3 linked regions of the Oryzias latipes genome follow. The protein of the gene in region 1 interacts with the protein of each later gene in a biochemical or structural test. Links are inferred from orthologs where the notes say so. Each region holds a gene or a part of one and is shown in the gene's direction. Other genes may lie near its edges.

Evidence for each region.
Region 2: the proteins of e2f1 (region 1) and phb form a complex in vitro, tested with the Homo sapiens proteins (2 studies listed by BioGRID). The link is inferred for Oryzias latipes from reciprocal best matches to the Homo sapiens genes E2F1 and PHB1.
Region 3: the proteins of e2f1 (region 1) and rbl1 form a complex in vitro, tested with the Homo sapiens proteins (2 studies listed by BioGRID). The link is inferred for Oryzias latipes from reciprocal best matches to the Homo sapiens genes E2F1 and RBL1.

What each region holds. Positions count from the first base shown.
Region 1 is NC_019865.2:2,000,207-2,003,960, reverse strand, and holds the start of e2f1 (transcription factor E2F1), read left to right. Parts: upstream 1-924; 5' UTR 925-1,833; intron 1,834-1,923; 5' UTR 1,924-2,129; coding exon 2,130-2,381; intron 2,382-2,469; coding exon 2,470-2,569; intron 2,570-3,688; coding exon 3,689-3,754. Other genes in the region: znf341 (zinc finger protein 341), read right to left, coding at 383-413. UniProt on the Homo sapiens protein: Transcription activator that binds DNA cooperatively with DP proteins through the E2 recognition site, 5'-TTTC[CG]CGC-3' found in the promoter region of a number of genes whose products are involved in cell cycle regulation or in DNA replication.
Region 2 is NC_019866.2:5,517,792-5,521,545, reverse strand, and holds the start of phb (prohibitin), read left to right. Parts: upstream 1-1,186; 5' UTR 1,187-1,225; coding exon 1,226-1,300; intron 1,301-1,812; coding exon 1,813-1,906; intron 1,907-3,524; coding exon 3,525-3,686; intron 3,687-3,754. Other genes in the region: uncharacterized protein LOC105354523, read right to left, coding at 240-281.
Region 3 is NC_019863.2:32,787,179-32,790,932, reverse strand, and holds the start of rbl1 (retinoblastoma-like protein 1), read left to right. Parts: upstream 1-1,240; 5' UTR 1,241-1,350; coding exon 1,351-1,512; intron 1,513-3,075; coding exon 3,076-3,209; intron 3,210-3,335; coding exon 3,336-3,539; intron 3,540-3,754. UniProt on the Homo sapiens protein: Key regulator of entry into cell division. Directly involved in heterochromatin formation by maintaining overall chromatin structure and, in particular, that of constitutive heterochromatin by stabilizing histone methylation.

The sequences.
Region 1 (3,754 bases):
GCTTCTCCATGAAAGTGACAGAAACAATAACGCGAGGAGTGCATGTTCACATATTAATGAATAGCTTTTATTGTCACATGTACAGCTTTTACACTGACATACGAGATGAGTTATTATATTACAGAAATAATTAATATTACATTTACAAAAAAAGCCGTTTATAGCAGTACAGTCTTAATCTTTAAAATATAATCAGGTTGTTTACAATCATCATCATCAGATCAGGCAGAACCCTTCAGTTCAGGGTGCTTACAGCCTACATAATACCCGTTTAAAGGGTGATTTAGTGTTCAAACAAGTCTCCAGTTAATTTACATGATGTGGTTTTCTTTGGCATATAACATATTTAATAATTGCGCGGTAAATAAGACTATATTTGTACCTTCCAGCGCCTCGAATATTGTCTGCGCCATCTTACAGCGCTCCTGTTTACCATCGGTGATCGATTGGTAGGGTCTGTTACTTTAGGTGCAGACCCCCCAATGAAATGCTTACATTAATATTTGCAAATAGAAAAAAACTTATCACATTTGGTTCAGACCCCCAGAAAACTCTAGTTTAGAAAGTTCCTAAGCAATCAGATTTAACTTTATTTTTTGTTAATCTGATTGCTTAAACGGAGAGGGAGCGCTAGGGACTACATTGAAAAAACGTAACTTTTTTAAGCTGGGACGCAAAGACTGTTACATCATATATTTAATATGGTAAAGGAGTTTATCTTTTAGTTTTGGGAAACCTTACATGAAACTGACACTACGTGTTTTACTATTTTGTTTAAAATTTCCTAAACAAAGCAGTTAAGAAGCCTTTTGTCCGTGGAACGTGAATGCACCTCCCAATCAGCAAATCTGTGCTCTGGAGAGTCACAGACGGCCATCTCCGCCAATCAGAGAACACCAACCTGGTCACATGGAAGGCCAGTTTTCCCCATGCTCTGTAACGTGACAGACGGCCATTTCCACCAATCGGAAGACACCAATCGCGTCACGCGCAAAACGAATCCCACTGGCCAATCCCAGCGGTCGCTTTTCCCCACGTGCCAGTTTCGCGGCAAAAAGGATTTCGCGCGAAAACCGTCCAGCCTTGTTTAGATATAGATCAGCTGGGACAACAACAATGACGGCTGCTAATGGGGTCGGCGCGGCTCGTTTACAGATGGACCCGATCTTCGGCGAGCAGACGAAGGAGCATCGGCACATTTTTTAACGTTTGAGCGAGTATTTCCTCCGTTTTGTCTGCATCTCCCGCGTTTCTCCGAGTGCTTCCTGCGTGCCCCAACAGTACGAGGGGGACCGAAGAACTGCAGCTAATCCCTGAAGCTAGCATGCTAAAGTTCCCCGTATTTCCGCGCTAAACTCTCTGTCGTCGCCGTCGCCCGGACGGATGGTTGCTTTCTTTTGGGAACTATTTTCTCAAAGATGGTGTGGATCTGCGATCATGATGCCTCCGCCGAGTGAATGTGTATTTTTTTTATTGCTTAGATAGCCCAGTTCTGTGAGCGTCTATAAAGTTTTCCGAACCCGTTAATGAAGCCATATCGTAGGGAAAAGGAGATAAACTTTTAGGTAGTGGTGGTAAATGTAGTCCTCTGCTGTTGTTCGTGTTTATTAGCAAAGTTGTTGTAGTCTTTTCTTGTGGTAAGCTAGTTCGTTAGCTTGGTAGCTCTGTGTTTGAGGACGGAGTGGCGAGGCCTCTGACAGGAAAACGAAAGACTAGCAGGCTAGCTCGCTCATGATCTCAATTTACGGCGGGTTTCTTCTTCTACTTCGTCTTTTGACCTTCTTTTATTTCCGCTGAAAACGGCGCGCGAGCCGAGCAGCGCGTGAGCCTAAAGTAGGATGCGCTCAGCGGGTCGTTTCCTGTTTGGGCTCCACGTCTCGCCTTGACGTTTGAACCTTCGACTCCTCTGTGGTTGATCTGCAGATTTCAGGCTCGCTGTAGGTCAACCTTCAGCAGGAGGAGGAGGAGGAGGAGGAGAGGTTAATGGATCAGCATTTTCTCCTCAAGTCCTCCTAACATGTTTGGGGTCACCTGGTGCTGAGCCTGTTTTGATACCCCAGTTGGTGCCCCCACCCTCCCTGGCATTCCCCCAGTCTGCTGCAGGAGCCCTTTGGGCGGCAGGCAGTGCCATGTCAGAGACTCTGATAACGGGTCAGACATCCGAGGATCTGCTGAAGGACTTTGAGACTCTGCTGAACTCCGGGAGCATCGATCTGAGCCAGGACCACCAGATCGTCATCATCACCAGCCCCAGCAATGAGGGACTCCACCCGCTGGCCGCCCCCAGCAGCACGGGGGAAATCCTGCTATTCGCCACGCCGCAGAGCCACGCCGACGCGGGGGGCCAGGACAGGAGGAGGCCGGCTCTGGGAAGACCTCCGGTGAGGGCGTGGCTTCAAGGCGGCCGCCGCCGCCACATCATCACACGCCGGGGTTCACATAATCGATTCCTCTTCATTTGATGATTAGGTGAAGAGGAAGCTGGACCTGGATAGCGACCACCAGTATGTCAGCACCACCCGATCCTCCGCCAGCCAAGCACCTCCTTCTACTCCTGCTCCTCCCAGAGGTACGCCGCACGCTCAGGAGCAGGAGCGCCGACTCGGCATCCTTTCACGGCGCTGAAGCTGGCGTCCGGTTAGCGGGGGCACTAAAGGAACATTCCACTGCATTTTTCACCCTAAGACCACCTTAGACCAGGTCCTTTTCAGAAACCACAGGACCTGGGCTGCTCAAACCTGGATTAAAATTAGGATTTAGATAGTAAAGAATTCATTAAACACAGCTTCTGATTTATGAACATTGAAATGGGATGATTTTATGTAGTTGATCAATTTAAAATGATCTATTTTTAGTCTGCCGTCGTTTGGTGAGCTGCATTGCAGGCAGACGACACGAATTCACAAGAGGGGAGGCAACAGAATCCCAAACAACAGAGCGCTGCGAGCAGGAAAGCCACAAAAACTTTAAAATGATTAAATAAAAATGAGTCCAGGTCCAGCGGTTTTTCAAAAGGACCGGGTCTTAGGAGGACCCGGTGCGTAAAATACTATAAAATCCTCCTATTTCACATTTTCATGAGTCAGAAACTGTGTTTAATGAATTCTTTACTATCTAAATCCTAATTTAATGCAGGATAGAGCAGTCCAGGTCCTGTGTTTTTGAACAGGACCACCAATCATTTTACATCTTTTGGATTGCGTAACGCTCAGACTGACTCATGACATCATGGCGTCCACATGCTGCGTGAAGCGTTTCCGTCCGCAGACGTTTGGGGCCGTTGGGATGAGAAGTTGAAGGAGAATTTCTGCTGAAGGCTGAGCCTCAGTTCCTTTTGTTTTTTTATCACTGAAATCCACATTTGACCGTTCAGTTCTAAGATGTTTCCTTCAGCAGAATCTTCATCGGTGGATTTCTATTTTTAAACCACCAAAAGACCCGCCGTGGCTCCGAAATCCAGGTCCCGTGGCCACGTCAGAGAGGGCGGGGCTTGGAGTTTCTTTAAAGGCTGGTTATAAATATTACCTTAAAGAAAATAAAAGTTTCGATGGCGTGGTCCAAACGAGGCCTGCCTGTGCCGCTGGAACGTCTTCACAGCTGGAGTCGGAGGATCACCTGTTTTCCACCTGGATGTGTGTTTTGTTTGTGGAGGAGGTTTAAGGCGGCGTGTTTTTCACTGCTTTTCCAGTTCCTCGAAGCACGGCGGAGAAGTCGAGGTACGACACCTCCCTGAACCTGACCACCAAGCGCTTCC
Region 2 (3,754 bases), on another chromosome or scaffold:
TATTTTTTCTTCAAATGTTTAGATATATACCCTTTTCTACTTTCCAGTAAAAGTTTTAATACAAAACTGCACGATCGTGTAGGAAAAACGACAGAGGAAGTCATACTGTCTGCTGCAGGGTCGAGAGTTAAGGAAGTAAATAAATCAAAACGATCGTCGTCTGTCGCAAAACCAGCGACCAAAAAAAAAAAGGTGAAGAAATGAACCGTGAATTTCAATGAGATGCTTTCGTTACCGACCTTACAAATGCTCCACGATCGGTAGTCTTCTTTCGCTAACATTTAAAGATGGTCATTCTTTTCCTCACAGCGTAAGCCTTACGCCGTAAGGAAAGTGAAACTGATTACGTGCAGTGCCGTTTTTGTCCGATAGGGGGCGACACAAGGCTATATGAACGTGTGTGTGTGTGTTTGTTTGTGTGTGTGTGCAAGTGACTTCGACGTTTCAATGAACGTCCCAGGGAGATAAAAAAAAGAAAATGTGTGAGTTCATTTATTATTTAATTTTACAATAGGCTGGCTATAAACAATATATTTTTTAAATAAATATGATATTGTTTTGCTGGACTTTGTCTTATTACACTTTCTTAAAACTTTTGTGTTGGTAATAAAACATAAAAAAACTTCCTTTTACTCAAACAATATTGTAATAGTCAGTATGGCAACCAAACTTTTAAAACAATGTTTCACGATTTTAAAAAGGTTTTGAAACATTTTAAATATTGAAAGTTAAAGCTTTGGAGAAAAATTTAAACAAGAAATACACTTGTGTCAAAATGTAGAAAGTCTTGAGTCTGTATCAGTTCTTAATGGGGTGTGCTCATATGATGCTTTTCTGAACAACTGTACATGCATTTTCTTAAATGTTTAAATTTTTTTAATTGGCTAAAATGTTATTTGACACAAGTATCATGTGACAATAAATGATAATGAACGTTAACTATATTTAGATTTATTTTAACTAATTTTCCCTTATTAATGCTGTATAACTTAATTATACTTCCATTCCTAACTTGAAATGTTTAAGGATTTGAGGAAGTACATTTATTGCCATCCATCCATCCATCCATTGTTCCCTCTAGTATTGTTGTACTGTTAAGTTTAAATATACCAGTAGGTGACGCTGTCAGTATGTTTCCACTAACAGTCTACCAGCATTGAAGATTCGTAGAAGAAGATTGACATGTTTTTGTCCAATCAGCGGCTTTGTTGCAACATTCTTGCGCATGCGCCGTAGAACAGGCATCCCTTGTGCTCTACGTCGTGTCCGGTGGAGGTCACAGGCATCCAAGAAAGCTAAGGTGAGTTATGTGATACAGCACGATTAAGCCTCGGACAACTTTTGAGATTTTTCCCTAAACATTACTTTGCACATTTTTAGGCAGTGCTACGGAGTTGTTTCAAGCATAGCTTTTATAAATAAACATGTTTGGTAGACGGAACAGCCCTGCTCAAATCCATCATGCATGCCCAACGTAAGCTAGCTTGCGTACTGAGGCACCACTAGATTGTTTGATAAAAGCCTTTTTGCCGCACTTTTATGTAAACATTAACGTGCCAAACTCAATTTTATCTGTTGCAACCATACGCTGAACCGATCACTGCGAAACTCATGTTAGCTTCTGAGCTAACCCTAGCCACCATCTCTGCCGCTTTGACATCATTCAAGGCCACATACGCAACCGTTACTGGATAGAAACTATTAAAACACCCACTTTCTACTGACAGTTAAGGCTTGGATGACTTGTGTTAGTCTGTACTGAAGTTGTTTTCTTGTTAACGTGTGTGATGACCTCGTTTTCATCGCTTCCAGGTTTCTGCCATGGCTAAATTATTTGAGTCCATTGGAAAGTTGGGTCTGGCTCTCGCCATTGGAGGAGGCGTTGTGAATTCTGCACTTTATAATGGTGAGTCTAAAAAAGAAAAAAACGAGTCATTTAAAGAAAGAGGGTTCTGGTTCACTCTATATTGGTAAAATAGCTCTCAATTTGCTTGTTGTCTTTTGTTTTTAGGAGTTTGAAATCCCTGGTTACTTGTTTAAACCCATTAAATCCCGCCAATATGGTATTGACACTAGAAACAAGTTATTGTTAACTTTGTAGCCCCATGTAAAAAAATAACTCCAGAATAACACAATGGGTTTTATGCAGTCTCTCCACAATAACTCATATTTAAAATGACATAATTAAGGAAAATGTTTATTGTTTACTTGACTGACACCGGTGGAGGATGTTGCATTAACACCATGCTGCACTGTTGACCTGTGAAGGGGACATAAATGTATTGCATTAATGATCTTTAAAAAAATACTTGAAAAATACAAAACTTAATGAGAAGCTTTGTAAGCAGTAGGTCCACATAGGCCCATTGTTTCTGTTTGAAAGGTCCATGACTAATTCCTTTACATTTATTAATAATTTCTTAATCTTTGTTTTAGTTATATTTAATTATAGATTTACAATAAACAGAAAACTATAGAAAAATCATTAAACCTTTAAAATACTAAAAAAAAAAAACATATGATAGTGCTTGTTTCTTTACACTGGAGAGGAAACAAATTTTTTTTCACACTATACAAATTCTTAAATTGGTTTTATCTAATGTTTTTATTCTTATTTTAGTAAAAAAGTAGTTTTCTAATGCAGACTTAAATGCAGCCAAGGTTGAATCTGCATCTCTGACACTGTTGCTAAGAAAGCTAAATCTCTGCTAATCTTAAGCTGAAATTTAAGAGGAACTAAAAGTAAGTAATCGCTGGATGCTGGCACCTTAAACCACCTAACCCTTTAATAGCTTTAGAAACAAATACAATCTTTAGGTCAATCCAAAGACTAACTGGAAGTCGGGCTAGAAAAGTGGAGATGTGGCTTTGTTTAAGGGATTCAATGACACATCAAGCAAACAAATGTTTAGTCCCACTGCAGGTAAAAAAGTGTCATGACTAACACCCATTATAGAGCATCACAACAGTATAAACAAGTGCTAGTAAACGCCTGCAAAGTCTAAGAAAGCTTTAAAGGGCTTATTCTTTAAAGTAGCCTTACGTGGAAAAAGCTCACTCCAGCAACCGATATAACATATTTGTCCTAATTAATGTCATAGTCAATTTTACATCTTTGATTGTCACAAATTCAGCTTTATTTACAAAACACTGAGGTCTCCACTGGGTCAAAAGGATGACTTTGAACCACAGAGTTACTGAGGACCATCTAAATATCACAAAAGTTTTACTTTCTTTAGCCAGGATGACCACCTTCAATTATTGAATTGTCCTTATTTGAAATAAATCCATCTATTTTGTTTTTGCATTATAAAAATGTGTTCTTTGTTTAGTCATAATTATTCTGTTAATTAAATTTTGTCAACATTGTGTATTAAACTTATAATATGCACTGATAATCTACCAGTGCATAATTCTGACCATATATTGGCCTCTAATAGCAGTTCTTTGTCTAAAACTAAAAGGAGCCCTTCCTGCTAAAATGTAATCATGTTTGAAATGACTGACTGTTGGTTTGTTTGTAGTTGATGCAGGGCACCGGGCTGTAATATTTGACCGGTTCAGAGGAGTGCAGGACATTGTGGTTGGAGAAGGAACTCACTTTCTCATTCCCTGGGTTCAGAAGCCGGTCATCTTTGATTGCCGCTCACGTCCACGCAATGTGCCCGTCATCACAGGCAGCAAAGGTACAAGTTCTTGTTTAATTTGTCATGTTGTGTTCACACTGAATGCAATTGACCCAGTTTTAATGTTA
Region 3 (3,754 bases), on another chromosome or scaffold:
CATGTAGGAAAAATCCCAGAAACTAAATGTCCCCATTCGTTTTTAGTCCATCGTTTTATGCTGTTTAAATTTGTATTTCCACTTGAACAAAATATCTAGGTTTGAGCTATAAATGCTTAAATTGTGATTTTTGAATGTTTCTTTTTATTATTACTTTTCCAGAGGTTTTTACTTTACCTTTATTCTACCAGGTAGTCCTATTGAGACAAGATCTTTTTTTCAAGGGAGTCTTGGTCCAGAGGCACATTTCAATACAAAAAAATACATAAAAACAAACATCATTAAAACCACATACATCATGAGAAGCAGTTGCACATTATTGTTTCAGTCTCTGATGCTTTGAGCTTGTTCTTAAAAACATTTAAAGATACCAGTTCAGTTAGTTTCCAGTCTTTCTGCAGCATTTTCCAAGCAGGAGGAGCAGAGTGGACTAAGGCTTTTTCCCAGCTCTGTGCAGCAAATGGAACAGAAACAACCGTCTAAGGATCAGAGGAGTGAGATTCCACACTTCTCCTTGTGATTAAGGAACAAATGTAGGGAGGGAGTAATAACCAATAGTAACTACCAATAATAATAACCAATAATAATTACCAATAATAATTACTAATAATAATAACCAATAATAATTACCAATAATAATTACTAATAATAATAACCAATAATAATAACCGATAATAATAACCAATAATAATTAACAATAATAATAACCAATAATAATTACTAATAATAATAACCAATAATAATTACCAATAATAATTACTAATAATAATAACCAATAATAATAACCGATAATAATAACCAATAATAATTAACAATAATAATAACCAATAATAATAACCGATAAAAATAACAAATAATAATGACCAATTGTAGTAACCAATAATAACAACCAGTAGTAAGAACCAATAATAATAACCAATAATAATAACCGATAATAATAACCAATAATAATTAACAATAATAATAACCAATAATAATAACCGATAATAATAACCAATAATAATTAACAATAATAATAACCAGTAATAATAACCGATAATGATAACTAATGTCCCTGCCTCCTAGTGGCCAGAGAAGTTTTTGCCTTCAATGTGTTCGTGCTTTTGTTTTTTATAAAGTTTTAGAAAAAAAAGTTGACATCCGGTACATAAGAAAGGGGGAGAGGGGGGCGTAGGTTTCTCGCCTCTGATTGGTCAGAAGGGTAAAGTTTTCGCGCCACCGCACTGCATGCTGGGAGCTGTTAGCGGAAGCGACGGGAACCGTGTTGTTGTGGTGAGAGCTCGGCTCCGCCGTTGTTTGGTTCTGTGGGTCGGATTCGAGCTGCGCGGACGGGCAGCGCTGGTTCTGTGGATGAGAGGGGAGGAGTCTTCGGATTCTGAGTCGGGGAGGATGGAGGAGAGTTCGGTCCGGAGGAGTTTGGAGGTGCTGTGTCAGGAGCTCAACATGGACGAGCAGACAGCCAGTGAGGCCATGGACAACTTCACCTCCATATGGAACACATACACTCTGGAGGTAAACGACTGGCTTCGGTTCGGTTCGGTTCGGGGGGGGGTTAGAGTCTCCCGGGGGCGCTGTAGACTGACCCGCTATGAGCCAACGAGCGCTTCTGCTCTGCGACCTCCGGTCATGATATACATTAATACATGATGCTGTGACGTGAGTTTTCCTGAAGCTTACCGGAGATTTTTGTGTTTACACACAGAAACACTGAAATGAGGCTTATTTGTGAGACTGAGTTAAAACATCCAGGTGTTGATTTGAGTCATAGGATTGTTGTTTACGTCCGTTGTTGAATCAACGTCACAGCGAGATGCTGCAGGTGACGGGAAGAGGAGCCTCGTCTTTAGGTTTACCTGGTAACTAATGGCAATAAATAGATGGCAATAAACGGAAGGTGTATTTATTATCTACAACATGGAGGTGGATGCACTGAATTTTTAAATATGAAGTCCTTATTTTTTTAGCAAAAACTAAGAAAATATTAGCAAGAAAACAGTATTTGAGGGGCGTAAAGAGAATTATAAATTCCTACTGATTGAACAGGGCAGTGAACACAGCACGACTCACCTGCATAAAGGAGGATTTGTAATCAAAGGCGTCTAATATCTGGATTTTTGATTTGATGTGGCTTTAAAAGGGACTCTGTTCATTTATCTGTTGCTGTCTAGAAAAGTGACCCAAAGAACAGAAACGTCCAAAACTTTACTAGATTTGTTTTAGCTCTTTGATTAATATACAGTAATAATAATCACACATTTTATTTAGATGGCGCCTTTCTGAGCACTCAAGGTTGCTGTACATCATATGTACTTATATAAAATATAATAAACAGTTAAAACAGCAATTTAAATAAATACAAATAATAAAAATATTTAAAAACAGGAAAAGGTTACAGTGAATGGGCCATTTGGAGGAAATGAGTTTAGTTGTTTTTATTTGATGATTTTTTATGGATTTGTTTGATCTCAGGGTTGAGATGGTGGATTTGTTCTGTGCGCTCCTGCTGCTGTTTAACACGATGGCGTTGAAGATGGAGATGCCTGAAATTCTTCACATGATTCAATGTTTCTTTAAATGTAGAAAAATGACGTCACTCTGGTGAATAAATTCAGCATTTTTGTAGCATATTTGGTTCCAAACGGATCCAAATGTTGTACATTTAGTTGTAATAACTGGATTTTATGTTGATGCGTTATTTTAACTAGACGAGTGAACGTTAGGAAATCGTTTATCTCTGTTGTTGTCTCCATAAAACAGCTGTTACACCTCATTATGAATTCATATGGTTAAAGATGTAAAGTCTATTTTGAGCAAAATGAAAAGAATGAAATAAAACGCAGTATTTTACTGAAATGTGACTGAATGCTGAACGTGTTCATGTTTCATCTACTAGCTGTTCCTGAGGGTTTAGCACAGGGTTTTGTTCAGAAGAACCTGAACCTTTACCAATCATTTCATTCACGCACCAATGGAGGCACAGCTGCCATGCCAGACGCTAACAGGCCCAAGGGCACTCGGGCACCGGTGGGTGGGCAGAGCTGGACGATGCAGAAATGTGCCGTTGTGTTCCTGCAGGGGGAGGTGGTCCACTGGCTGGCCTGTTCTCTGTACGCCGCCTGCAGGAAGGGGTCCACCCCCACTGTGGGGAAGGGGCTGATGGAGGGCAACTGTGTGTCCCTGACCCGGATCCTGCGCTGCTCCAAGCTCAGGTCAGGTTCTGCTCTGCAGCTTCTGCTGGATTTTACAGCCAGTCCCGGTCAAACGGGATCCGCCTGTGCAACTTTGGGATTTGCGTCTTCATGTTTGGTCCCGTTTGTTGTCGGCCCCCCTCCCAGCCTGATCCAGTTCTTCTCTAAGATGAGGAAGTGGGCCGACATGTCAAACCTGTCACAAGACTTCCGGCTGAGGATGGACCGGCTGGAGCGAAACTTTGAGGTGTCCACCGTGATCTTCCGCAAGTTCGAGCCCATCTTCATGGACATGTTCCAGAACCCACAGGGCAGCGAGCCCCCCCGGCAGCCCCGCAGCAGGAAGCACAGGTGGGACGCCGGCGCGCCTCAGGCATGACGGTGTATACTATATACATGTCCACAGTATACTATATATACACACATACACACATGGTGCATTGCGTCTTGTTGGAATATCTTGAGTTCAAATAAAACCCGAGCAAAGGTTTTGACAAAAACAAATACATTTTAGGCTTTTGTCTTGATGTTTCATCCTTTTTACTGATCTGAGACATGATCCAAAC